Linked DNA regions of Nothobranchius furzeri. The protein of the gene in region 4 purifies or fractionates together with the protein of the main gene of each other region. This does not show direct contact. Links are inferred from orthologs where the notes say so. Each region holds a gene or a part of one and is shown on either strand. Other genes may lie near its edges. The genes, in order: trrap, nap1l1, wdr5, histone H2A.Z, chd4b, histone acetyltransferase KAT5 and mrgbp.

The links.
Region 1: the proteins of histone H2A.Z (region 4) and trrap purify together in Homo sapiens (affinity purification with mass spectrometry; 3 studies listed by BioGRID and IntAct, with this or other methods). This does not show direct contact. The link is inferred for Nothobranchius furzeri from reciprocal best matches to the Homo sapiens genes H2AZ1 and TRRAP.
Region 2: the proteins of histone H2A.Z (region 4) and nap1l1 purify together in Homo sapiens (affinity purification with mass spectrometry; 3 studies listed by BioGRID and IntAct, with this or other methods). This does not show direct contact. The link is inferred for Nothobranchius furzeri from reciprocal best matches to the Homo sapiens genes H2AZ1 and NAP1L1.
Region 3: the proteins of histone H2A.Z (region 4) and wdr5 purify together in Homo sapiens (affinity purification with mass spectrometry; 3 studies listed by BioGRID and IntAct, with this or other methods). This does not show direct contact. The link is inferred for Nothobranchius furzeri from reciprocal best matches to the Homo sapiens genes H2AZ1 and WDR5.
Region 5: the proteins of histone H2A.Z (region 4) and chd4b purify together in Homo sapiens (affinity purification with mass spectrometry; 3 studies listed by BioGRID and IntAct, with this or other methods). This does not show direct contact. The link is inferred for Nothobranchius furzeri from reciprocal best matches to the Homo sapiens genes H2AZ1 and CHD4.
Region 6: the proteins of histone H2A.Z (region 4) and histone acetyltransferase KAT5 purify together in Homo sapiens (affinity purification with mass spectrometry; 6 studies listed by BioGRID and IntAct, with this or other methods). This does not show direct contact. The link is inferred for Nothobranchius furzeri from reciprocal best matches to the Homo sapiens genes H2AZ1 and KAT5.
Region 7: the proteins of histone H2A.Z (region 4) and mrgbp purify together in Homo sapiens (affinity purification with mass spectrometry; 4 studies listed by BioGRID and IntAct, with this or other methods). This does not show direct contact. The link is inferred for Nothobranchius furzeri from reciprocal best matches to the Homo sapiens genes H2AZ1 and MRGBP.

Annotation. Positions count from the first base shown.
Region 1 is NC_091756.1:29,470,916-29,475,173, reverse strand, and holds the start of trrap (transformation/transcription domain-associated protein), read right to left. Parts: upstream 2,801-4,258; 5' UTR 2,706-2,800; exon of another isoform or gene 2,693-2,705; intron 1,849-2,692; 5' UTR 1,806-1,848; coding exon 1,706-1,805; intron 787-1,705; coding exon 737-786; intron 555-736; coding exon 444-554; intron 1-443. UniProt on the Homo sapiens protein: Adapter protein, which is found in various multiprotein chromatin complexes with histone acetyltransferase activity (HAT), which gives a specific tag for epigenetic transcription activation.
Region 2 is NC_091741.1:58,518,278-58,522,265, reverse strand, and holds the start of nap1l1 (nucleosome assembly protein 1-like 1), read right to left. Parts: upstream 2,801-3,988; 5' UTR 2,665-2,800; intron 1-2,664. UniProt on the Homo sapiens protein: Histone chaperone that plays a role in the nuclear import of H2A-H2B and nucleosome assembly.
Region 3 is NC_091746.1:41,695,250-41,699,545, forward strand, and holds the start of wdr5 (WD repeat-containing protein 5), read left to right. Parts: upstream 1-1,496; 5' UTR 1,497-1,683; intron 1,684-2,490; 5' UTR 2,491-2,516; coding exon 2,517-2,594; intron 2,595-2,780; coding exon 2,781-2,889; intron 2,890-3,295; coding exon 3,296-3,369; intron 3,370-3,920; coding exon 3,921-4,010; intron 4,011-4,296.
Region 4 is NC_091743.1:88,106,831-88,109,832, reverse strand, and holds histone H2A.Z, read left to right. Parts: upstream 1-1,162; 5' UTR 1,163-1,297; coding exon 1,298-1,300; intron 1,301-1,586; coding exon 1,587-1,664; intron 1,665-1,786; coding exon 1,787-1,900; intron 1,901-1,977; coding exon 1,978-2,107; intron 2,108-2,184; coding exon 2,185-2,246; 3' UTR 2,247-2,502; downstream 2,503-3,002. UniProt on the Homo sapiens protein: Variant histone H2A which replaces conventional H2A in a subset of nucleosomes. Nucleosomes wrap and compact DNA into chromatin, limiting DNA accessibility to the cellular machineries which require DNA as a template.
Region 5 is NC_091745.1:74,018,085-74,021,584, forward strand, and holds part of chd4b (chromodomain-helicase-DNA-binding protein 4), read right to left. Parts: intron 3,287-3,500; coding exon 3,165-3,286; intron 3,087-3,164; coding exon 2,913-3,086; intron 1-2,912. UniProt on the Homo sapiens protein: ATP-dependent chromatin-remodeling factor that binds and distorts nucleosomal DNA. Acts as a component of the histone deacetylase NuRD complex which participates in the remodeling of chromatin.
Region 6 is NC_091750.1:47,314,777-47,318,717, forward strand, and holds the start of histone acetyltransferase KAT5, read right to left. Parts: upstream 2,801-3,941; 5' UTR 2,732-2,800; coding exon 2,702-2,731; intron 2,622-2,701; coding exon 2,555-2,621; intron 1-2,554. UniProt on the Homo sapiens protein: Catalytic subunit of the NuA4 histone acetyltransferase complex, a multiprotein complex involved in transcriptional activation of select genes principally by acetylation of nucleosomal histones H2A and H4.
Region 7 is NC_091755.1:46,194,091-46,198,043, reverse strand, and holds the start of mrgbp (MRG/MORF4L-binding protein), read right to left. Parts: upstream 2,801-3,953; 5' UTR 2,667-2,800; coding exon 2,525-2,666; intron 1,734-2,524; coding exon 1,612-1,733; intron 1,530-1,611; coding exon 1,448-1,529; intron 1,217-1,447; coding exon 1,142-1,216; intron 1,000-1,141; coding exon 764-999; 3' UTR 1-763.

The DNA.
Region 1 (4,258 bases), on a different chromosome or scaffold from region 4:
TGTGTGTGTGTGTGTTAGTGGCTCTTCCCTCTTGGCATGCCAGGCAACAGCATTTGTTGCATTTCTCAAACATGAAGTGGGAGTGGAGTAAGTTTCTTGTAGGGGGGTGACTTGCTCTTTTAAATATACGAGTGTCGCAGCAAGGGGTCTGAATAATTAGAACCATGCGATATTTCAGTTTGGTTTTTTTTAATAACTGCAGAAATTTCTAAAATTCTGTGTTTTTCTGTCAATATGGGGTGCTGTGTGTACATTAATGATGAAAAAATGAATTTACCTGATTTTAGCAAATGGCTGCAGTATTATGAAGAGTGAAAAACTGACGAAAGTCTGAATATGTTCCGTACCGACTCTATTCATTACTAGAGAACTTTAGAACGTGGATATAAAGACACGGTAAGTGCAGAAAAAAAAAACAAAGAGGTTTGTTTTTCGTCACATACCTGAGTAGGTTTTTCTTGCAGAAACTGCACCTCTCCATCCTGAAGAAATGTGAGGAAGCGAGGGATGATGTGCTCCAAAAAGGTGGAGTACTGAGGTGAAGATGTCACATTCTGAAAGGGATAAGCCCACAATAGTTTATGCCATTAAGTAATTCAACAAATCAAATCAGAATGATCTGTAGAACTTATCAGAAATCACATTACTCTGATCCTCTTTCTAACCCGTTTCATACGTGTTTAAAAAGTAATCAATAAAACCTCTCAGAAGCACACGCTCAAAACATCTAACTTACCTCAAAGTTCTCGCTGACCTCCTGCATCATCTTCAGCTTAGTTTCATCAGCTGGAAGTTAAAGGACAGTGTAGCCGTTAATCAGACAGCATTAAGGATGCGGATCCACTTCTCACAGCTGTCTGTGTGCTTAGAGTGGGCTCTCAGATCTTATCAGTTTCACTTTCAGCATCCAGCTTAATCAAAAGGTACATCAAGAACCACACACACACACACACACACACACACACACACACACACACACTCCCAGACACTCGTACCTTTGGCTGGACTAAAGCATATCGCCCTCATCACATTGCCCACTCCAAGCACAAAGCTTGAATCTACTCACGTTATAAAATAATGTTTTAATTCACATACATGTGTAGGCTTTTGGCTAAAGTAAATAACTTTGATTTTCCTTTTTAAGCTTGCCTTTCTTTTTAGCAACAAACAAAATCTTCTACTCCCCTAAAACGTCACAGAACCACAAACTGCACAGGTTACAGTTACAGTAGCTCATTAAAAACACAAAGAACAGGAACTTGTAAAAACTTTTTTATCTATAAAGCATCAAATATTATCTTCAAATATTAGTGCAGAGGATGCCAATAAAAAGGGCTGCAATTTATTTTAACGTACACATTTGCATAAATCTTTTTGGCCTTACAGTTAGGTAAACATTATGCCCTTCACAGGACTGAAAGCACAATAATTGTTTGTGTGTGATTATTTTTGCTTAATGTACACACAAGTCAATTATTTGTCTATAATTACAGTTATATGTGGTATTTTAGAAATTCAAACACAAGAATATAAATAAATCAGTACCAATACCAGACTACCATTACTCTCTCTAACAAAATGCAGTGTTTATCAACATTTTGAGGCATTTTCACTATCTGGTTGTATAAATTTAGGAATGTGGTTTATGTCATGTGAGTTTATTATGTCTGCCATTCATCATGAACATCCAGTTTAATGAACTTACGTGTGTTGGTATCTGTGAGCGCTGCCACAAACTGGAGGTATTTCTTCATGAGAGTGGTCTGGTCCACCACCGTGGGGCTGGGAGCTGGAACAAACGCCATGGCGGCCACAGGGACAGACTGAGCAGCCGTCTGCGCAGATTCACTGTGGAAATGAAAGAAAAATAAGTACAAGCTAAGTATGTTCATTCATGCATGGCAACTTAGTAGAAAACTGGCTGTATAATAAAATAAAATATAAAAACAATAGAATAAACAAATGATGAGTAATGTAAAGGCAAATAAAACATTATTTTGGGGGAACAGGCTTCATCTGAAATCTTTTCTTAGCAAAAACTGTTCCGCTGTTTTTTTAAAAGGGCTAATACTGTCGATGCATTTTTACAACATGAACAGGATTATTGCAGAAATTGAAAGTGGTTCTGAATGAAATGCTCAAAAGTGGACATTAAAAGGACAACAGCAGTGGCAGAGTAGTAAAGTACTATGAACTGTTAGATTTTACATAAACTGAAACATATGTTAAAGGAACAATTCGGCAACAAAAGATAAAGTAATGTTTTGTTGACAAACCGTAACGGAGATCAAGAAACAAAACGCTTGTTGATGACGTCATGCACGAAACAGCTAGCAAAATAACAGAAATCCAAATCCTAAAAAGCATCTAAATATACAAATTGGACGCAATAATGGTAAGAGTAATTTAACCGTCTGACGCGCTCATTCTCGTTTCCAGAAAAGGGACAAAAGTTTAGGCACACTATTTTGCAGGATACAGTTAAACGTTAGCAAATAAGCTAGGTCTTCTAAAGAAAGGAAACGCTTCTGCAGCCTTTAACAATGACGGCTGCTTCAGAGAAAACGAGTAAGACCCCACTAACAGGAAACGATATTAGCTTCAATTTAAAAATACACTCAAAATAACGCTCACTAAATTTGCCATAAAAACCCACTTCATTCTCCACCTAAGTTTAAAAGACAGAGCTAACCTTGTGCACCTACCCCGTGCCTGTTCCGCGCCGACAGGAAACACTCTGTACTCTCGCTCTAACAGCCGCGCTCGAGCTCTCAGGCGAAGATGTGAGGTATCCCTCCTCCTGTCGGGTTTCCAGTCATTTATATTGGCTTAGCTACAGTATATTAAAATTTGTATACAACACATAGATCCATAAGAACGACAAAGTTGACATTTGGTAGAGAAAAAAACATGTTGCTGGTCCAAACGTTTTTTCTAGTACCTGCGGAAGGATACAAGCTAAAACAGGAGATATAAGACCATCATTTTCGATGGTCTTCCTCTGTTTTCTATTAGGTCCTTGTAGCTGCGCTCAATCGATTAGATTTCTTTTTATATATAATAATCAAGAACGTTGTAAACACCATTGATAAACAGAACATTACATTTAAACATTTTGTAAGAACGTTTTACTCAAACCGGGCATTAAGAAAACTATTTATGGTTCAATTAGAGGTTTAAAAGCCAAAGTTGTTATTAATGGCTTCATTATTTTAGCGGCTATTTCCCAGGTTACTACATAATATAACCTGCGTAATATTATAAGACCAATCATACAGATGGTTCTATATCTGTTGAATTTGTGCGTGAAATATTTTCACCAGTAGATGGCAGTCCATTAAGGGTGATTGATTTTACTTATGGCGAGGCTTCCGAATCAGAAGGGTTTTATTGCCATATGTGCGAGAAATCACAACATTAGGAAATTGCTGCGGTACTTGGTGCAAAAAGAAATATAAAGTAAGAGATAAGTAAGTATAGGAAGTAAAAATAGTTTAAAGTGGCTATAATTACAGAAACGGCTATTATATACACACCATGTAGGTACTAATCAGAGTGGATCAGTTCAGGTACAAACACATCACTGGTTCATGTGACTGAAGCGAATGGAGTGGGCAGCCCTAGTATTGTCATTCATGAACCCAACAGCAGAGGGGAAGAAACTATTCTTGTGGCGAGAGCCTGAGGTTCTGGTCCGAATGGATCTGAGCCTCCTGCTCGATGGAAGCGAGTCAAAAAGACTGTGTCCAGGTGACACGGGTCAGGTGGCGACATGAGTCCACCATCGTGATGGGAGTGTCAGACAGGGTTTTGGGAGGGATTGGGGCTCCATGCTTCCTAAAGTCCACAACAACCTCCACTGTCTTCTGGGTGTTAAGCACCAGCCAGGTTGTTGTGGCTCCACCAAGACACCAGCCATTCGACCTCCATTCTGTAGGCAGACTCATCCCTGTCAGAGATGAGTCCAATGATGGTGGTGTCATGTGCAAATTTGCTTCACTCGTGGTTGGAGATGCAGCCTTTGGTGTACAGGGATGGACGTAGTATTGTCTTTAGAAGTGTGTGTGTGGGGGGGGGGGGGGGGGGGGGACTAGCATGAAGACCGGGGGTGGGGGTGGGGTCTTTACAGTGTAGCATTCCCAAGGTTTAAGTTTTCATCAAAAATGACAGAAATAAACTTTTTAATTTGCAGAAACAAACACCACATCTGTCTGGCCTCCAAACAGGAAAGCACTGCACAAGACCTTGTTACTAAACA
Region 2 (3,988 bases), on a different chromosome or scaffold from region 4:
AACGGACTCGTTCTCTCCTTTGTCCATCTGAGAAAAATGTGCTGTTCAACACTATTTGTTTCTTTTCACCGGGGAACAAAAGAAGGAAAACATACCAAGGACACACCAAACATGACCTTAAATTTACTTTTTACTCTTTGACTGAAACAGGAGTTTAACTTCATAACAACGACAAAACAGGACCCTGACCAGCACTAAAGCAAACATGTGGACCTTAGCCACAGAGACTTGTTTGAGTCTCTGTGGCTGATACACAGATGTATCAAACCATTCATATGTATGACATAAGTAAATTTCCTTTGTACAACTCAAAACATGAGTGAATACCAGAGGCCTTCTTTACATATGAAAATATTCCAATGCCCAATCAAAACATGTGCAGCACAGCAAGTTACTAGTGCCATTAAGTTACTTAATGCTGATATGGAGGAGCAGCAGATCTACTCTGAGCCCTTCCAGGGTGACCAACCTTCCTATCTTTAATAGCTCATTTCCATTAAAGGCCAACAAATATATTCAATTTTTCTATATCGGCCAAAATTATTTTAAAAAGCTGATAAAAATAAATAAACCTGTGTGGCCAACTGCCGCCACTACTAGACTGAAGAAAGGATCCGAAGGACCACAACACATTGGTTTTTTTTATGTTTTGTGTTTGTTTTATACTTGAAGTTCAATAAATATTAAGAGATTTATTGACTTATGTAATTTATATTGCACACAGTGAGTGTTCAGTTTTCTTTCACAATCAATGTGCTGCTAAAATGTATATATCAGCCTTAATAATCGGCTTTAGATATCGGCCATTGGCAACGAAATTCTTTAGAAATCGGCATTGGTCTGGGGGGAAAAAACCCCATTGGCAGGCCTCTAAATCCAATTTTCTATTTACTGTCCAGCCAAAATTTCTATCAACCATTTTCTCTTATTTGGAGGTACCAATTTTCATCCCTGCTACTTCACATCGGGCTTAAGACCATTCCAGCAAAAGCTGGAGATCATTGCCTGATGAAGCAAACAGGCCCACATCCTCTGCAGAAAGCCGAGACTTTATCCTTAGGCCACCAAAACAAATCCCCTCAACACCTTAGCCATGTCTAGAAATCAGTGACAAAGGCAGACATGGGGATCCCATACAACCTAAAATCTACATCTGTATCTGGAACAGACGCCAACATATTGAATCACATCTCCACGACTTAATGTAGTGGCACTTTGACTTGTGTGTGTGCAACCAGGACTGAAAACCACCAGAAGGGTTTGCGTTAAGGTTTTTTAAGCTGACTTGAACTAACATCAAGTATAGGAGAGTAAAATGAACTCAACCAGTTTCAATTAAATGTCTAGTGAACTGGACTTGACCTTGTTAAATCTCCAGATGATATGCGCCTCACTGCTATGTTCATTTAAACCTTTAAACATCTAATTAGAACTAAAACATTTAAATAACTCAAAGACTTTATAAAATGCGTTTCATAGACTAACTCGAGTCATTTGGAAGCACTCTGTACTTGTAGCCATCCTTTTGAACATAACTGTATTAGAAATTAGAATTTAAACTCAATGAAAGGATATTCAGATTTTAAATAACTATTGATTACAAATTAACGTTTTCAGAATAAGTGCTAATCTGAGCCTCCACTCTAAAATCTGAAATACAAAAATAAACTTATTTTAATATCAAGTGTATTTTATGATTCCACAGCCCAACAACAATGGACTCGTCTTTAATCCAAAGGTTAACACAGGCAGTGCGGTTCACACACGTTTACCATCACGGACCAACAGACCGTCCAAATCATTCTTTTGTTTAGGTCTTTTCGTCTCCATCCACCGACCACGTGTTGCATGCTGAAGTCTACCAAACCATCACACATTTTCAAGTCCCGCTATGTCGCTTCTTGTTTTGAAGCCACATTCTGGAACTACATCAACCCGAGTTAAAACGCCAACCTGCTTGAACAGCAAAGGAGCGCTTTGTCGCTACAAACGCAGGCCGAGCCCCTGGCTCATCACCGGGGAAACTTTAGCCGGCCTGTCCGCTGCTGAATGCTTCAACACTTCCTGCTAGTTAAGCTAGCAGGTCGCTTAGCTTGATGCGCACTGCCCGAGCTGAGCCAGTGGGAGGAACAGGACCACACAATACCGTCCACTTAGAAATCGGTGCCACCTCTTCGGTAACACGTTTTCTCCCTTATGCAACACAAATGTCCATCGGCCTTGACCAGTCCGTTCCCCACTCCAAGCATCAGCTTCACAGAAAAAAACGAGGTCAAGTCAATAAATGCAAAAATGACGAAACACGTGTCAACAAAATGTCGCAAACAATCGACAGTTGCGGGAAACGTCTGAGGTGCTATACTTTAACGACTTCATTATTCGGGAAAGAAAACTACTAAAGACACACGAAGATGGCCGCTGTTTTACCATTTTTAAAGCGCGTGTAACGTTAACACCTAACAGTCAATGGTTAACACATCATGGAGGAGCAAGTCTCAATGGCTGCTGCTGTTGCCGCTATCTGGTTCGCTAGCATTAGCAGAGCACCGCCGTCTTCCCTTCTCAGCCGGTTTGTTTACGCTACAGCATTAAACCCGAACTTCGTCGCTCACGGGAGAGTTCGGGGCGTCGGTGTCCGAACCACTACCAGCTGCCGTCCCTTACCTTCGCTCTGAGACCGGAGACTGGACTAGACGAGGGACACTACGCAGTGAAGAAAAGAGACTCCGCTCCGATGGCGGTAAAAGGGAGAGAGATCCCGCCGCCTGCGCTCATATACATCCGACGTCATCACGTAAACGGGCGGTCACCGAGGCAACGCTCATGGGAGGGGCGCGAGATTTTCCTCCTTGGTGGGTGAACAAACGTTAAAAAACCATCATGATCACGCTACTCTTCATCACTCTATCCATTTATGATCTCCATGTTTTTCAGTTATTACCCGAGCTTGAGCACGTTCTTTAAAAAGTTATATTTTCATTATAAAATTAGGATTATCTTCTCAGCATCTTGTCAGCATCTTGCCTGTTTGGGGTAGGCTTGTGCCATCCCCCCCTCCCTTAAATATATTAATTATCATACTGTTTTACATTGCCGTCGTCTTCCTCTGCTTATCCGGGTCCAGGTCGCGGGGGCAGCATCCCAACTAGGGTGCTCCGTCCAGACCGTCCTCTCCCCGGCCTTCTCCACCAGCTCTTCCGGCAGGACCCCAAGGCGTTCTCGGACAAGATTGGAGATGTAACCTCTCCAACGTGTCCTGGGTCGACCCGGGGGCCTCCTGCCGGCAGGATATGCCCGAAACACCTCCCCGGGGAGGCGTCCAGGAGGCATCCTGACCAGATGCCCAAACCACCTCAACTGGCTCCTTTCGATCCGGAGGAGCAGCGGTTCTACTCCGAGTCCCTCCAGAATGTCCGAGCTCCTCACCCCATCTCTAAGGCTGAGCCCGGCTACCCTACGGAGGAAACTAATTTCGGCCGCTTGTATCCGCCCATGGGGCCCGGCCAGGCCCAGCCCGAACCGGATACATGGGCTCATCCAACTGTGGACCCACCACCCGCAGGAGGAACATGAAGGGTCCGGTGCAATGTGGATCGGGTGGCAGACCAAGGCGGGAACCTTGGCGGTCCGATCCCCGGACAAGAAACTGTTTTACATTATTCATTTATACATGCATATAAAAGAGTGCTTTTTAATCATCAGGTAAACCACACATTACCATTTTATTTGTTGAACACTTTTAACACAGTATTACAACTGATCAATCACAATAAAATTGACAGTACCGTTAAAATCAAAGGAATAAAAACCAAACAGGTAATTAGAACCATAAAATCCAGAAAATGTAAAATTAAGCAACGAAGATGCAAGGAGGAAAAACCTGTAGACAAAATACCAGAACCGGGTTTAAAAGTTAAAAGCCAAGGAGAAATAGTGCATTTTAAGATGAGATTTGAAAGCAGTGATGGAACCTAACTTAGAGAGCTTT
Region 3 (4,296 bases), on a different chromosome or scaffold from region 4:
AGCTCTGCAGAAGATGGTCGTTAATTACCTGCTGATTACAGTCAGCTGTGTTGAATCAGAGACCTCTCTAAATTTTGCCTTCTTCAAGCCAGGAGACTCGTAACCAACGTGCACGTTCAAAATATTTATAGAAAAAAAATCTGGCGGACGTGACAACGTGCACGTTAGCCACAAGAACAGAACACGAGACAAAGCTCAGTTTAAAGTTAGAAGACATTTGTCAACATGATTTCAGATTCCCGAAATAACTTGTAAAAGCTTTTCATAAGCGGTGACGCAGAAGATATCGTCAAATACTTTTCGTTTACAGTGAAAAACGTGGCGTAATGTACGAATGAGACTAAATGACTAAATAAGCGAGATGGTTTTACTCAAAATGTATTAAAATGTAGGTTTGGACAAAGCGACATGATTGGCTTTAAAACGTTTCAAATACTTATCGTGAAATAAAAACACAAGTATGCACGATGTTCGTTAGCATAAAGTTAGCTAGCTGGTTTGGTAAGGGACACTGCAGCGGATGACAACACACTTTGTGACACCGACTGTTGATATAAGTTTCGAAATACCAACTACAGGTTTTGGTTAAGTAACGTTTGCTTTAATTTGGGGCAAAATGTAGCGCCAATAAATAAGCTTGAATTAAATTATCATATAACGAAGCGAAGAAGTCCGCTTCTTTAAACACCTATTGTTGTTATGGAGGAGGCTAACCGCTAAGTAATGAGTAAAAATAAGAAAATAACAACAGAAGTGTTTACCAACTCATTTAAGAGGGCGTGTTGACATGGGAGCTTGACGCTGCACGGCTTGGAAGAAAGCTCACCGAAGCCAAAACAAACTAGTGAACACCAGAGTGCAGTGTGTTCAAAAAGAACTAGAAACTTCTTCCCCGACCTATTGCAGCCACGGCTGAAGGGACAGGTCTGGTGCTCATAGCGCCATCTGTTGAGCCGGAGAATCCAAAGCGCGTTCACAGCTGATTTATGGTAAAAGTGTGAAATCTGCATTTCACAAAATCATATTTATAATTGTGGAAAGTATTGAGCTAAAAAGTAAATGGTTAGGGTTATATAAATAAATGCAAGTGATTTACTATGAAAATATCACAGTCAGTAGTTCATAACTACATAAAGCATAAAATAAGGTTACGACGTATTAAAGATATGTAATTTGTTTGTTTTATTTAGATTTTTGTTTGCTGTGTGTTTGTTTCTGTTTCATGTAGACTTTTCCTTTTTGCATATTGATTGACTCTGACAGCCACAGCCTGGTTTTTAAATGGCTACTGCCTTTCATTGAAATTTAGATGAAGTATTTCACATAATGTACTTCTACAAATTCTCTGTTGAGAATTTTTGTCATTTTAAATTTAAAAAATACAAACTTGTAATAAATAAGATTAATTAAAACTATTGGGCTCTTTTCAAACGGCAGTCGAAACGATTTTTTCATAATTGTCCCTCATTAGTTCCCGTCACTTTTGAACGTCATGCGCCTGCGCAAACTGTAAGCACATTCCCCGCTTCACCTCGCAGCTCGTTCCTTTACCAGGCAAACATCCTCAAGCAAATAGCTTGATTTGTTCTTTGTTCTATCTCTCTTTAGTTATTATACGGACTGTTTTAGATTTCCAGGATTTGCAAGGAGTACCAGTCTGACTGTAGATCTAAATTGATCAACGTAAGTATCGGTGTAAAACCGAATCTTCATTGTTTCAATGGAGGCCCCCTTCGTGGCTGCATAACTTGTCAACAGCATCAACTGCATGTCAAAACTGCGATTAGCTTCTTCATATAACTGTGGCGTTCATGCCAAAATACATTTTATTCCGCGAGACAGCCTCTAATCTATAGATCTTCACGTTGTTTTGTTCGAAGGTAACCCAAGTATATTCAGGTGTTGAACTTTACAGCGAACGTACTCGTTCTCCCTTTGTTTGCTTTTATTTTTCGCATAAATAATAATTCGAAGCAAAAACGAGCTGGTGTCAATGCATTTGAAGGCAACACAAGATGGTAAACGGTAACCGGACAAGGGGGTTGGCCTCAATCGGTTTTCATAGTAAGAGCAATTTAACGTTAGCTAACTTCAGCTAGCTGCATTAGCTAATTTTATAGCTAAACGGACCCTAAACGGGCATTTAAATACTTTTGAGCATCACAGCCTATTAATAAGCCTAATTAAAGTAAAATTTACATGATATATACTTAATTTATCTTATTTAAAGTAAACCCCACTGTTTATTTTAGATCACAGTAAAGGAAGCTAATGCTAACAGATAAAACAATAGTTTTTAATCACGTTTACCTTAATGGTGGTTATTAGCAGTCATCGAGCTGGAGGGTTTATCTTATTTCTCCAAACTTTAAAATTCCGGGTGTTAGAAATTGTAAAATTTCCACCCAATAACTTATCCCAGTTGTTTAATCTTTAGGTTTAACTTGCCTGATTTATTAACTTTTTTTATGGTTTCTTCTTTTGTCTCAGGTGCAATAGATGCTGATTTCCTCACCATGGCAACAGAGGACAAGAAACCAGAGACTGACACCAAGCCTCCAGTTGTCCCATCAGCCTCTGCTAGCCAAAGCAAGGTCTGACAAACCCAAGTTTTGGCATTGCCTGTAATCTCCCACCCTGTCCTCTTATGATAGTTTAATTCTAAGTTTTTGTTAAGGACTGTCAATATTCCAGCATTATTTCGGATTTTTTCTTTCTTTATTGAAAGTATTTCATCATGTTTATTCATTTGCTAAATTAGAACTGGTTTTCTTTTGCAGACTGCACCTGCAAAACCAAACTACAGTTTGAAATTCACACTAGCGGGACACACTAAGGCTGTGTCCTCGGTTAAATTCAGTCCAAGTGGAGAATGGCTCGCCAGCTCGTGTAAGCATCTCATTTTGAATCATATCTTGTTTAAATCTCAGCTACCTCAACATAAATCTTCTTTCATTCCATAATAAAATGTATTGGGTTTTGTGAAACTATGTTTGATCCAGAGCTTTTTTTAAAGTTTGATAAAACACTTGTACTGCATAGATGAAGTGTATTTTGTGCTCTAAGTTAAATGTAAATAACAATAATAGCAGTGCTTTAGTGACTAAATATTCTTATGCAATTGTGAAATTTTTATTGGTTTTAGTATTTATCTTTGGGTACACTCGTTTCATTTGAATATCTGATCAGCTGAAATGATTGAAATGGGGAAATTATATATTTTTTACCATTTTGCAACTTTTCAGTCATTTTTTTTCTCTTTTTCATGATGTCTTTTTCATTGTTTGTGTTACAGCTGCTGATAAACTCATCAAAATCTGGGGCGCTTATGATGGCAAGTTTGAGAAAACCATTTCTGGACACAAACTTGTGAGTAGAAGGGACCCTTACCTGTGGCACTGTTGTGTTTCTGCCTGCAGGACTGTATTAGGTAGAGTTTCACCGCTTTTACTAAAACATCAAAGACTCCTCCCACCCTGGTCATTACTGTTTTGGACTCTTGCCGTCCAGTTGGTGCAAACAATCCCCTTCCCCACAGCAGTAAACTAAATGTACTAAAACCCTCTCATGCGCATTAGAGCAAAAACCTCAGTCACCAGTGCAATAAGTCTAATATAAAGTGAATACATTTACTGCTGCTACATATCTAGTAAACATGTACTTCTGTTTATATATTTATATCTGTTCTTTTTTTCTTCTGTTATTCCAAACACACCATTTGAGTGCCATGCAGCAGCAGAGGGTATTCACATGCAGTGAATAATAAAAACTTTGAGTCTGATCTGTTTGGTCGTTCAAAGCAAGAACAAGATTGTATTTACATTTTTAGAAGATAAACATGAGAAATGACTCCATTGTTTACTCTTGTATCATTTTATGTCCTTGAAGCCTTGAGATCTTAGAATTTCTTTATTTTCCAGGGAATATCTGATGTGGCCTGGTCATCTGACTCCAACCTTCTTGTTTCTGCGTCGGATGACAAAACTCTGAAGATCTGGGACGTTAACTCGGTAAGAATGTTTTAAGGTGTGGTTCATTGAAAAACCTTTTTTAATGATTATTTTAGTTACTCTGAGGTTTTTCATGCAGGCTGAACATGACAAAAGTCTCCTATCTTCTGGATTAGCTAGAAAATAGATGGTGAAAGTCTAGGGTTAGAAAATCCTGACAGATCCACGTTACACTGTCACTAAACATTCATGGGCTCACCCATCTTGGCTCATGACGAGGACGGCTATTGTTGGTTTAGCGTCCAGAAAACAGCATAGAACATCTCGGCTGGTAGAAGCTAACCGT
Region 4 (3,002 bases):
TGTCTCTCCATCATATATTAAGTGTGTTTTTTTTAAATACTGCCATAGATGTCAGACACTTGTTGTATGAACGTTTTAAAATTATTTAGATTCTCATTGTTTTCTAGAAATTTCAACGCTTCAGACATTATATTATTCATTTATCTTACCATACTTAACTTATTGTATTGAGGTTTGGGGAAATAAGTATAAAACAAACACTAATCCTTTGTTTCTGTTACAGACGAAAGTTTTGCGAATTCTATATAAAGCAAATCCGAGAGAACATACTAACAAATATTTTGTTCTGTCTAAAATTATGAAATTCAAAGACTTAGTTAACTTGAAAATTTTACTAATTATGTTTAAGGCTAGAAATAATTTACTGCCAACTAATCTACAAAGGTTCTTTGTTTTGATCCCAAAAAATGATAAGAGTAGATAGAAACCAGAGTTTAAAAGGATATTTGTTTGTACTACATTAAAGCAAATGTGTATTTCAATATATGGTGTGCAATTATGGAATAACCTGGATGATGAATTAAAAAAATGTACAACTACTGATCAATTTAAAAAAATGTATGAAGATAAAATGCTAAAATCGTATGATTTGGTGAGTTGAGGATGGAGGATTAATTTTTTAGTAGTGATATTATTTGTGGAAGTAAGAGAGCGGTTTATTTTTTGTGTATAAGGCTATTTTGTACTCTTTGTTATTTATCTTGTCTTAGTTAAAGGGGGTAGGTCATATAAGATTTTTTCTTCTTCCTCCCCTATTTCACTTGAATGCTTATATTCTAATTTGAAGTTTGTATATTTAAACTTTGAGTGAAATAAATTATTGAATTGAATTGAAATTGTTTGATTTAAAGTGATTGATCCTCTTTTTCTATAAGCCTGGACAAGAGTCACATATGTACCCACAGCAAACCCACTATGATTAAAAACGTTAAAACATGTGTCCTGTATCAAAGCCGCATGTGTGATGTTTGCAGGGGAAAAAATGCATCAAAATTGGTTGAGAATTCAAGGAGTTATGGTTGATTTAACATGCTCACACTTCCATGCCTCTGTCAAAGGGCTCGACCGATCCAAGATGGCAGTAGCGGGTCTGCAGCGAGCTCAGCCCCTGTTTGCGGAAATGGATATTGGCGTTTATTGGCTGAAAGTTGTAATGACGTATGATTGGCTCATATCCGTTACCCGGATAAAGACGGTTTGAGAAACGTTCAAGAAAGCGGCGTAGTGAAAGTAACTACGGCAGCTAAGAAGGCCATTAGTGTTTCGCGGCGAAGAAACTAATTGAGAAGAATTTAAAATGGTGGGTTTTATATATTGTGGAACGTGTTATGTCAACCACACAACTACGGGATGTTGATTCAGGGCATTTAATAAACCCTAGTTGTAGGGTTTATTTTGTGTTATCTGTTAGCCGTTCGTATTAGCCTCCTACTTAGCTTAGCATGCTAGCTAACACGATGGGCGCGCTCAGATAGCAGTTGTCGCATGTCTGGAAGAAGTGAGCACTTTTGTTATTTTCTTTGTGCACGTAAGCGAACGGTACTCGGTGATCAGGATGCTGGTAACTAACCGAATTTGTTTTTCAGGCTGGTGGGAAGGCTGGGAAAGACTCCGGGAAGACCAAGACAAAGGCTATTTCGCGCTCTCAGAGAGCAGGGCTTCAGGTCTGTCCAGTTCTCATTCATTGAGCTAGCATCCCTGCTGCACGTATCTAGTGTTGTTAAGATGGGAGCCCTCTCGTTGGTTCTCCCATGTGCCGTGTTTGCTAACTTGGATCTCTCTTCAGTTCCCGGTGGGCCGAATCCACAGACACCTCAAGTCCAGAACCACCAGCCACGGCAGAGTAGGAGCCACGGCCGCCGTGTACAGCGCCGCTATCCTGGAGTACCTCACTGCCGAGGTAACGCTCATTTAACTTTGACCATGGCTTGCGACATCTGGCCTTGTGCACAGAGCTAAAGTTCGACTTTCTGTCAGGTTCTTGAGTTGGCTGGAAACGCATCAAAAGACCTTAAAGTGAAACGAATTACCCCCCGCCACTTGCAGCTTGCCATCAGGGGAGACGAAGAGCTGGATTCTCTCATCAAAGCCACGATCGCTGGTGGAGGTAAAGAAATGGTTCTCCACCTGTGTTTGCGCGCTGTAAAGCTGCTCGAGGTTTTTAACGTTTTCTTTGTTTTCCAGGTGTCATTCCTCACATCCACAAGTCTTTGATTGGAAAGAAGGGCCAACAGAAAACTGTATAAAGTGGAAGTGTTGTGTGTGTTGTCTCAGGATTGAAGTCTGCATTAGGTGGTTAAATGTTTTAGATTCAAACACATTTAGGATTTTGATGGCAGAGCTTGCATTTACTCACCTGTTTGATTATTTTTTTTGTATGTGGCTTCAAAGAAGCTTTATTTTTTTTCCCTTCTGGTGCTGCAGTTTGTGTTTAAATACAGCTTTTGTGGCATTCCCATTTTAAAGTGGTGTTTTAATAAAGCCTTTTTCCTTTCTTTTTGACCCAACCGCAGTTATGTGTAATTTTTAAAGTTCTTGTGTTTCAAATGAAATTGTGTGTGTGTGTTGCATAGTCCCATCAAAAATCTATTTTCCAGGCCGGCTTGGCTCTCCACTAGAGGGCATGACAAGATCACGAGCTGAGGATCAGGAAGTTGTGCTTTTTTTTTAATTTATTTATTTATTTTTTTTTTTAGACATGGGGTTGATTCTGACAAAAGATTTGGTAAAAAGTGAATTCTGATTTCCTAACTTAATTAAAAAGGGGTAGCTTTTGTGGTAAAGCACGAAGTGACTTTAAAATAAATTTAATTGATAAATACCCAAATTTAAGCATACAAACCTGTTCAAAGCAAACATTTTGTGACATCAGCTTTTTGTTGCTGCTTGTGGCACACCAGAGTGGTTTGTAAAATACATACAGCCGAAGAGATTAAGATGGTTGAAGGAAAATGAGTCACATTTTGGCTAAAAAAATGTACTTAAACCTTTTAAATAGGCTT
Region 5 (3,500 bases), on a different chromosome or scaffold from region 4:
GCTCCGGGTGAGAGGCGGAGGGCTGGGGTTGGCTTTTTGTTAGCCCCAAGACTCTCTGCCTGTGTGTTGGGGTTTGCCCCGGGGGATGAGAGGGTAGCTTCCCTCCTTCGGGTCGGGGAACGGGTCCTGACTGTTGTTTGTGCTTATGGGCCAAATATCAGTTCAGAGTACGCACCCTTTTTGGAGTCTCTGGGACGAGTGCTAGATAGTGCTCCATCGGGGGATTCCATTGTCCTGCTTGGGGACTTCAATGCTCACGTGGGCAATGACAGCTTGACCTGGAGGGGTGTGATTGGGAGGAACTGATCTGAACTCGAGTGGTGTTTCCTTATTGGACTTCTGTGCAAGCTGCAGTTTGGTCATAACGAACACCATGTTCGAACATAAGGATGCCCATCGGTATACTTGGTACCAGGGCAGCCTAGGTCGCAGGTCGATGATAGACTTTGTAGTCGTATCATCTGATCTGCGGCCGTATGTTTTGGACACTCGAGTGAAGAGAGGAGCGGAGCTGTCAACTGATCACCACCTGGTGGTGAGTTGGATCAGATGGCAGGGGAAGATGCCACGTAGACCTGGCAGACCCAAACGCATAGTGAGGGTCTGCTGGGAACGCCTGGCAGAAGAACCTGTCAAGATGGTCTTCAACTCCCACCTCCGGCAGAGCTTTAATCGCGTCCCGAGAGCAGTGGGGGACATTGACTCCGAGTGGGCCTTGTTCCACTCTGCGATTTTTGAGGCGGCTGTTGCTAGCTGTGGTTGTAAGGTGGCCGGTGCCAGTCGTGGTGGCAACCCACGTAACCGCTGGTGGACACCAGAGGTTCGGGGAGCCGTCAGGCTGAAGAAGGAGGCCTACAGGGCGTGGCTGGTCTGTGGGTCTCCGGAGGCAGCAGACAGGTACCGGATAGCCAAGCGGAGTGCAGCAGTGGCAGTTGCCGAGGCAAAATCTCGGGCGTGGGAGGAGTTTGGTGAGGCCATGGAGAAAGACTATCGATCGGCTCCAAAGAGGTTCTAACAAACTGTCCGGCGCCTCAGGAGAGGAAGGCAGCAACTCGCTCACACTGTTTACAGTGGGGATGGGGAGCTGCTGACGTCAACTGGGGATATAGTCGGACGGTGGAAGGAATACTTTGAGGAGCTCCTCAATCCCACCTATGCGCATTCCAAGGAGGAACCAGAGCCGGGAGACCTGGGGATGGACTGTCCAATCTTGGGGGCAGAAGTTGCTGAGGTAGTCAAACAACTGCACAGCGGCAGAGCCCCGGGGGCGGATGAGGTTCGTCCTGGGTATCTCAAGGCTATGGATGTTGTAGGGCTGTCGTGGTAGACACGTCTCTACAACATTGCGTGGTCATCGGGGGCAGTTCCTGTGGAGTGGCAGACCGGGGTGGTGGTCCCCATCTTTAAGAAGGGTGACCTGAGGGTGTGTTCCAACTATAGGGGGATCACACTCCTCAGCCTCCCTGGAAAGGTCTACTCCAAGGTACTGGAGAGGAGGGTCCGATCGATAGTTGAATCTCAGATTGAGGAGCAATGTGGTTTTCGTCCTGGCCATGGAACTATGGACCAGCTCTATACCCTTGCAAGGGTGATGGAGGGGGCATGGGAGTTTGCCCAACCAATCCACATGTGTTTTGTGGATTTGGAGAAGGCTTATGACCGTGTCCCCAGGGTCATCCAGTAGTATGGGGTGGGTGGCTTTCTGTTAAGGGCCATTCAGTCCCTTTACCAGAGGAGGGTGAGTTTGGTCCGCATAGCCGGTAGTAAGTCGGACCTGTTCCCGGAGAGGGTTGGACTCCGCCAGGGCTGCCCTTTGTCACCGGTTCTGTTCATTAACTTTATGGACAGAATTTCTAGGTGCAGCCGTGGTGTGGAGTGTGTCGAGTTTGGTGGCAGGAGAATCTCGTTTCTGCTTTTTGCGGATGATGTGGTCCTCCTAGCTTCATCCAGCTCTGATCTTCGGCTCTTGCTGGGTAGGTTCATGGCCGAGTGTGAAGCGGCTGGGATGAGGATCAGCACCTCCAAATCTGAGACCATGGTTCTCGACTGGAAAAGGGTGGCTTGCTAACTCCAGGTCAGGGGAGAGGTCCTACCTCAAGTGGAGGAGTTTAAGTATCTCGGGGTCTTGTTCACGAGTGAGGGTAGGAGGGATCGGGAGATCGACAGGTGGATTGGTTCGGCGTCTGCAGTGATGCGGACGCTGAGCCGATCTGTCGTGGTGAAGAGGGAGCTGAGCCAGAAAGCCAGGCTCTCGATTTACCGGTCGATCTACGTCCCAATCCTCACCTATGGTCATGAGCTTTGGGTAATGACCGAAAGAACGAGACTGCGGATACAAGCGGCTGAAATGAGTTTCCTCCGTAGGGTGGCCGGGCTCAGCCTTAAGAGATAGGGTGAGGAGCTCGGACATTCGGGAGGGACTCGGAGTAGAACCGCTGCTCCTCCGGATCGAAAGGAGCCAGTTGAGGTGGTTTGGGCATCTGGTCAGGATGTCTCCTGGACGCCTCCCTGGGGAGGTGTTTCGGGCATGTCCTGCCGGCAGGAGGCCCCCGGGTCGACCCAGGACACGTTGGAGAGGTTACATCTCCAATCTGGTCCGGGAACGCCTTGGGGTCCTGCCGGAGGAGCTAGTGGAGGTGGCCGGGGAGAGGACAGTCTGGAGCTTCCTAGTTGGGATGCTGCCCCCGCGACCCGGACCCGGATAAGCGGAGGAAGACGACGACAAAGTGTGCATGTGCCGCCGGCAACTTCAGCAGATGATACGGTGGCTGGTAAGAGTCACCGCGCCTATACCGCAGCCACGGTAATCCACCGAGATAATATATTTTTTAAAAAACAAGACGGTTATTATTATCGTCAACTTTTTTACCGGGGTTTACCGCTACACCGGTTACCGTGACAACCCTACTTACTTCTGCATGGGGCTCAGCTCCACTCGAACGATGAGTTCTGTTTTAGAAGGCATGTGTTTGAACACATCGGCCTTCAGCCTCCTGAGCATGTGGGGTCCCAACATGTCATGGAGTTTCTTGATTTGGTCCTCTTTGGCGATGTCTGCAAACTCCTCCAGAAACCCTTCAAGGTTACTGCAAAAAATATGAACAAATGATTAAAATTCTGTCCCTGTGAGCTTCACCACAAAAACAAAACATAAAGCAACTAACTTGAATCTCTCTGGAGTCAAGAAGTTCAGCAGGTGAAAAAGCTCCTCCAGGTTGTTCTGAAGAGGGGTTCCAGTGAGCAGAAGTTTGTGTTGCAGTGAATAGTTGTTCAACTGCCTAAAGAACTAGAATTAGAGAGAAAAACAGGGAAAATGACAAGAAATCTCTGAAAATATGCTCATTCATAAAGCACAGCAAAGCATTGAGTATCTGCAGGTTTAAGGGAGCCAAATTTAAGACTTTGAAGGCTTTTTTAAGGCCACTTTGACCAAATTTAAGCTATGTTAAAAATTAAAGCTATAATTTCCAGCTATTGCCGGGAACCGGTGCTAACCACGT
Region 6 (3,941 bases), on a different chromosome or scaffold from region 4:
CTGAAGCGCTCTTTACAGATGTCAAACTAGGTTTTAAACCAATAACAGCTTAAACTAGGGGTAGACCGATATACAAGGCAAATATTTGGCGTTCTTTATAAATCGGCAGAAGCATTGCGGTTTTGAGAAGTCAAGTGGTCAAACATGATGCGCCGCTGAGCACTTCTCGGAAAGTCGTGCGATAGTCACATCAGGCCGAACTTGAGAACAGGAAGCAGAAAATGACTTTCGTTTTTACGAGATCAGACTTGCCGTCGTGTTTTGAGAGACACTAGTTATTAAAAATGGGTAAGTACGCTATTTATTAGAATATTTTAATATAGTATTTCAAATTAATCACTGCTTTAAAAATGATTTCCAACTCAAAATTATTTTTATTTACCAGTTTTGAATATCAAATAATTGACACGTCACTTAACGGATTTGTTTGATTACCTTTTATTTAAATGTCTGATATTAACACTGAGCTGTGTTCAAAATTAGGATTTAACAGTTGGTTAAAAAACTGATTCAGAAATTTTGTGCATCAACTGATGTTATCTGACGTTTTAGCATGAAAATAAGGTGAAAATATTTAGATATCGGACATAAAAATATCGGCTGCACAAATCGGACATCAGCTGACCTTTTACATATCGGCAATCAAACCAATATCGGTCGACCTCTAGTTTAAACTACAGGTTTAATTACACTGTAGTTTATCAGAGCCCTTCCATGCATTTCTATGCAGCTATAACAGTGATGGGAATAACGCCGTTTAAAATAACGGCGTTCTTTTTTTGGGTAACGGAATAATCTAATTAATTACTTTTCCCACTGTTGCAACACCGTTACCGTTACTGGGGATGGAAGGTTGTGCGTTACTATGTGCTTGTCGAACGTTGAGCAACAGTGTGAGGCTTTCTGACCGCCACACTTCAGCTGCAGCCAGGGAGAGAGAGGTGTCAGTAACGCACTTACAAACCCGATGATGATTGGCCGGGTGGGCGGAGACCCTCACTGTCTCAGTCACTGCATGCTGTAGACTCAACAGAGCAGTGATGGGAATAACGCCGGTTAAAATAACCGCGTTACTAAAAAAAATATTTCTTTCAGTAACGAGCAACCTAATTAATTACCATCTTCTTTTATCAAAATGTCGTTTCTGTTACGTATAAGAAATGTGTGCGTTAAGCAGCGCAGTGTGTTGAAGCTGTCATCAGCTGATCAGGAGCTAAAGAGGCAGATGTTTTCATCCAAGTGCATCACGGCCCGTGAAGAACGAGGAAGACGTGATGAATAGTCTACGGCTGCAGGTGTGGGTCTGCAGCCGTGCCCTTTAACGTGACAGCGGGACGTCCTGAAGGTCCGCTCACCTGTTCACCACTCAGACGTCCTGATCTTCTACCTTCCTAGATCATCCAGCTGTAGCCTGTTTCTGATCATGTCTTTAGTCCCGCTGTAACACTGATGCATCAGTCTCAAACGTCATGGAGCTCAGGTGTTATTAGAACCACCCAGCTTCAGCTCTTCTGTGTTTGGGTCTGACCCACGTTAGTAAATGTAAGTCCTCCATCAGATTTGTGCCTCTTCTACTGTCATTTTAAAGGATTTTTATTTATTTATTTAACCATTACTAGATTACCAGCAACAGAAATGCTACTAATAACACACAATTATGTGAAGTTGGAAAAGTTAAAATACTGTAATTTACATTCATTTCTGTCATTTAACTAGACTGAGAGACCATTTAAAGGCTCGGGAACCTTTACAGGTGTTTCTATTTGCAATTTTAAATTTTAGCTGATTGGGGTCTTGTTAAATATCACACAGTGACGTTTTAATAGTTTAGATAAGTGTAATGCTCCTGTTCCTCCTGTTAAGTGCTTATTTATTTAAATTATTCAGGTTTACAAAAAACATTTTGACATACGTTTTATTATGTTCCAGTCACTAGTCATTTATATTTCACTATTGTAGTAATTAATAGTAAATAAGTTCAATTAACCCATTTTCTTGCATTCTTTAATGAAAAAAGTAAATAAGTAGTTATTTTTCTTGGTAATTAGTTACTTTTATAATCTCGTAACTCAGTTAGTAAGTGAGTTACTTTTTTGACAAAGTAATTAGTAACTATTACTAATTACTTTTTAAAAGTAACTTTCCCCAACACTGGATATAACAGTGTTTAGTGTGTTGAACTTGGTATTTTAATTTTAAATCTTAATTATTTCATTTGTATTATTAGTGTCTTCATTTTGTCTTACGATTTGAAGTTGGTTTTTATTCCTGCGCGAGAAATGAACGTTCATATTCTAAATCAATAAAGATTAACATGAATGTTTGTTGACATTTAATAAAGATATTTGATTACGCTTCTGCAGACAGGATTCAACAGTTAAGCCTCAAAAATAAAGAGTGGCTTCAAAAGCGTTCTACATTAGCACACCTTCTCAATCTTAGTAACACTTTAGTTTTTTTGTCTACCTGGAAGACGAGGTGTCTGCTAACAGCCAGCTGAGCTTCGATAGTTAGCATTAGCTTAGCACCAGGGAAACAAACGGACAACACTTACGCCATTCGTCCTCGTGTTCTTGGTTTTTACGAAGAACCGGTAGGCGACAGCCTTCGACAATTTCGACCTGTTGTTGATGAAACGTTATTTTACAACCAAATAATGGTCAATGTCTAAAAAGTAGCATAGTTTCTCTGGAGAACCTACCGAAGACGAGCTGTCCACCATTTTCGTCATCTGTGAGTGCAGCAGCAGGGTGTTGTGGGAAAATGCCGGTCCACGCCAAAGATGAAAACATACGTCAAGATAGTTGTTTGTGCCCTGTCACCGGAAGTTAGTGAGCTATCTTAAATGAGGCAAACAACGCAAACAGAATGGCTTCACTACTTGAGTTATTAATAGTAATAACACATTATGTTTTAAACAGGAAGAGAATTTATGTATTTGAATTTCACAAAGAATGTATACACCACTCAAATAATTACAATAAAAACTATATACAACTAAACCAGTAACAAAATAGAAATGCTGTTCTATTTGACTTTTTTATCTATGTGAACTTTAAAAAAAATTTATTTAGTCGTTTGATTTAATTGATGAAAACCAACTCAGTCTATAAGGCATTTATATGTTTTATTTAGGTCAGTTTCACGGAACACGAGAACTCGATCCTGTCTAGAGTAAAGATTTTTCCGCCCTCTGGCGGACCCAAGCCATTACAACAACATTTGGATTGCGTGATCAAATTAGTTAATTTGTAAATTAAAGTGACATGGTAAGTCAACTTCCTGTGTGTGTGTGTGTGTGTGTGTGTGTGTGTGTGTGTGTGTGTGTGTGTGTGTGTGTGTGTGTGTGTGTGTGTGTGTGTGTGTGTGTGTGAAGTTAAAAAGGTTTGTACTGCATTATGAAGCAAGTGTATTTTTGCACCAATCTGCCACACGAGAGCAGCAGTCTTCCATTGTTGGGAGCAAAAATGCTGCAGTTAATCACATTATTATAGAGGTGAGATTATTAGTTTTTCCTGTAATTGCTGAGAGCTTTGCCGACTCATAATGTGTTTTGTTTTCTTTTAGGAAAGAGGGAATTTTACAAAGTAACATGCTTATGGAGCAAAATGGATTTTACTATATCACAAGTTTACATCCATATTGTTTCCTGCTGTAAAAAAAAGTATGACAAACCATTCAAACTAAACTTAAATTTTGATCAGATTTTAATCAGTTTCTAAACATGTGCAATAGAAAATCTTCCTAATTTAATAGTACATCACTGAAATGTTGGAGAACACAACCCCCATGTTTACCCTCCTTAATGAGCTGTTAAGAAGCATCTGATTAAATTCATGTGTCCAGTAAAATGTTAAAATTAACAATAAAATTGCACCTGAAGTTGTCATCTCGTTAGATCTCTGGTAGATTTAGACGCTGGTGCCTCATTAATGTCAAAT
Region 7 (3,953 bases), on a different chromosome or scaffold from region 4:
AATCAGCTGCTGCCTCCCTGGAGTCCAGGAACAGACTGATCCGGATGGAGGATCTGGAAGCTTCTGCAGGCTGTACATGAACCGGGTTTCTGAACCTAGAACCCGAGCAGGTCCTGCTAAATACACTGACAGAAATGGTTCCCGTAGGTTTCAGATGGATTCCTTTGACATTTCGGCCAGGAGGCTGCAGACGGATCACAACCATCGTCCTGTTGCTTCTAAAACATGACGTAGACGTAGTGAGTGGGTCAAATCCAAACAGCAGAACATCAGACAGAAGCTGAGAGGTTCTGCTGCTCCTTAGCTCTCCGTCCATCAGAACGTCAGGTTCTGTGGTTCTGGTTCTACGGCAGACCCATAAATACAGCAAGTGGTTCAGTTCTGTCCCAGATTAAACAGGAGTTTAGTCTTCGGTCTGTTCAGCAGAGCATGTGACTGATTTGAAGCTCTCTGATTGGATGTTTGTTGCCGAGGTGCATCCTGGGAGTTGAATCCGAAGTTAGAACCTGGGTTTGGTCTAAAGGACCTGAATCCTGGACTCCGGCCTTAGCACACGGACCGAGGAGCAGAACCCGGTTCTGTCTGAGGAAGATGGGAACGGATCAACAATCTCCGCCCCCCCGATCGGACCGATGGGCAGCAGGAAGTCACACATCAAAAAACACTGAAAAAATATCACCAGAATATAACTGGAAGTCCCATCATCCTCTCCTCCTGCTGTGGTCACATGACAGGTGTAAGGCAGCCAATCAGAGTCCAGCCCTCAGGTGCGCCTCCTCTTGGCACCTCCTGGGCTCACAGGGTTGGAAGACGACAGCAGCTTCTCAGCCGCTCTGCTCCTCTTCCTCTTTTCTGCCTCCTTTGAACCTCCTCCTGCACCTGCTCCTCCTCCCCCTGTTGCTGCTGCTCCTTCTCCTCCTCCCTTCTCCTTTTCGCGCTCCTTCTCCTTATCTCGGCTGCTGCTCGTTCGCTCAGACATCTTCACAGACGAGTTACTTCCTGCAGAGAGAAATAACAAGAAACTGACACACCCAGGCTCGTGATTTAGGAAGGTCAAAGTTCACCAAGCCTGGTTCTGTTCCTAGATCTGGACCAGGGCCGGGTCAGAAGTCTGACTGGGTTCATCCATCTACAACTTTACCTTCTTCATGAGTGGCAGGAGGTTCTCTCTCAATCCTGAACTCCTCCTTGGTCTCCTCCTCTGATCCGTGCTTTCCTGGAACCACAAGAGACCACATCGTGACCGGGCTCGGATCCGACCTCCTATAGGAGCCAACCCTCACCAGCTACATGATTTTAGCCTCAGTCTCATAATCCAGACAACCAGACTAAAGACTTCTGATCAGAACCGGTCTGAAACTGGGTCAAAAACCTGTCTAAGAGCTCCTGATCTTAGGAAAAAGGATGGATGAGGACTAGCGCTGTAGTCTCAGCATTTCCCACCTACCTCCTTTAACTTCCTGGATGATGTCATCAGGTAGAGAGAAGCTCTTCTCTGTGTTTGGAAATGGCAGAATCTCTGATTCATGCTGCGACACACAAACAGCAGGGTCAGCTTCAGCAGCGATGGTGTGTGTGTGTGTGTGTGTGTGTGTGTGTGTGTGTGCGTACCAGAGCCTGCATGTCATACATGGTTCCCAGGTGGTCCCAGATGACGGAGGAGGACACCTGGCGGCCAATGTTCTGACTGAATTTATCTCTGATGCAGATCATGTGGAAGTGACGGTTCACACCTGAAACCAGACACACATCCCATCACAACAACTACGCACAGTGTGTGTGTGTGTGTGTCACACACAACATGTAGTTGGCAGTATGCTCAACACTTTCACAATAAAATGGCCTGTATTTGATACAGCACCCTCTAGAGTCCTGGAGTGAAAAGTAAAACGTCGATCCTGACGGTAATGTGAATAATTACATCCAGGAAGGAAACTCCCGCAGGAAACACAGTTTGAGGTTTTGTGGTGACCACTTGGAGGCAGAACCATAACTTTAAGACACATTGGAGTAATTCTGGTTTGAACTAGGGATACACAATATATCAGCATCAATATCAGTATCAGTCCGATAAGTAAAACTGGGCCGATATTAACAACAGGTATATTTTCAATCTTGTTTGTGTATCTGTTTCAGAGGGTGAGGGGATGAGGATTGTTTAGTCATGTGACAGTGATGATGGTATCGGTATCGGCCCAAAAACTTGATATCAGTGCATCCCTGGTTTGAACCAGTTTGGGTTCTGCCCTCTGCACATCTGGGTCTCACACAGCTGCAGTTCTGGACGGTTCTGCCCCAGATACCCGCCACCGTGTCCGTGTTTTAAACCCTGAAGCACGGTCGCTGGGTTGGTGACATTGTCTGCTTGAACTGTTTACACCGAAGCTCAGAATTCCCCCACAGAAATGGTGAAAATCTGCAGCAGCTGCGCACGCTAACTGGGTTGGTGTGTTCCGGAGCCTCTGGTTGTTTGGGTTTGGCCGCTAGTTGCTAGCAAATGCTAACATTAGCTGCGGTTTCTTACCGACCGGTTTGTGTCCGATCATCGCGTGGAACAAACAAACCTCCACCTCGTGGCTCCAGACCACCGAGTCCTCACCGGGAACCAGCCCCGAATCCGGGGGCTTGTCGTCGGTCTGACTCAGTGTTACATCTGCTTCCCCCATCTTTAAACCTGACTAAACAGGCTAACAAGAGAGCCGTCTGCAACCGGAACTCAGATGCCACTTCCGGGAACTGCTTTTCAAAATAAACAGGTAGCGTTTCCTGAAGTTAAACCTACTGGTTTGTGGAGAAAAACAACAAACGCGTTTTCCATAAACTCTCTTCATACTTGCATAAATACGACACGAGTCGTGGGACTGCAACATAAGGAGGAAGTCTGGAAGCAAGCGGGAGTTTTCAGCTTCTAAAAGGCGTGAACAGAATGGCCAACATGCAGGAGCTCCTGATTCAGATTTCAGATTTATTGGCCAAGTAAAATTAAATTCACAAGGAATTTGGCTTCGGTAGATGTTCGCTCTCTAAAACATACAACAACCACAATAAATGAGAAAAAAAATACCTAAAAACAAATAAGAACATGTATACCCACACACATGTTCATCTACACACACACATATATACATACACACACATATCCATAAGCATACTGAATAAGTATTAAAACCTATAATAAAAGGATGGTAAAATAATCTACAGATTCAGGAGAGAAATGGCTGAAGGAAACTGTTCTTGTGTCTGGTAGTTTTTGTGTACAGCGATCTATGTATGTATGATGTGATCTCTACCATCTCTTTGACCATCATCATCATCTACGATCACTCTGACCATGCAGGCTTTTATACTTGTGCCTTTATGCTTCTTCGATCATTGGAAGCTGCTTCTGCAGGAAGTTTGTCGCCATCTGGTGGCAATTTACTAACATTACAGCATTCGTGCAAAAGAATAAACGTTTCTAACATTATCTGATGGGAGAAAACAATCTTTATTATGATTTCTTAATCTAGACAAAGCCCCTGTGTGTTTGTGTCTGCAGCCATCAGGTCCGAGCTGTTACTGAGGGATTCAGGGCTCCTGTTTGAACCAGAGGAACAATCACAACAAAAGAACAGAGATCCCACCATCAGTTTACCACCACAAGCAGGACAGGTTCAATTATGGAATACTAGAAGCTGAAGTAAGGAATTTCTTTCTGAACAGGCCTGGATTGGTTTGTCCTTTGATGTGGTGAACTGGAAGTGGTCGCCGGCTGAAAAAGGTTTATTCACAAACTCACAGACAAACTTCAGATACTGGTCATCTGGAGAACCAAACAGCATTTGGTACGAGGCACAGTGCACTCATATGCATGACAACGGACTTTGGGACGACGCTCCGTGTGAGTGGCTCTATAAACCCATCTGCTCCAGCGCCAGCGGTGAGATCTTCAACAAGCACACGTCTGAGGTTTT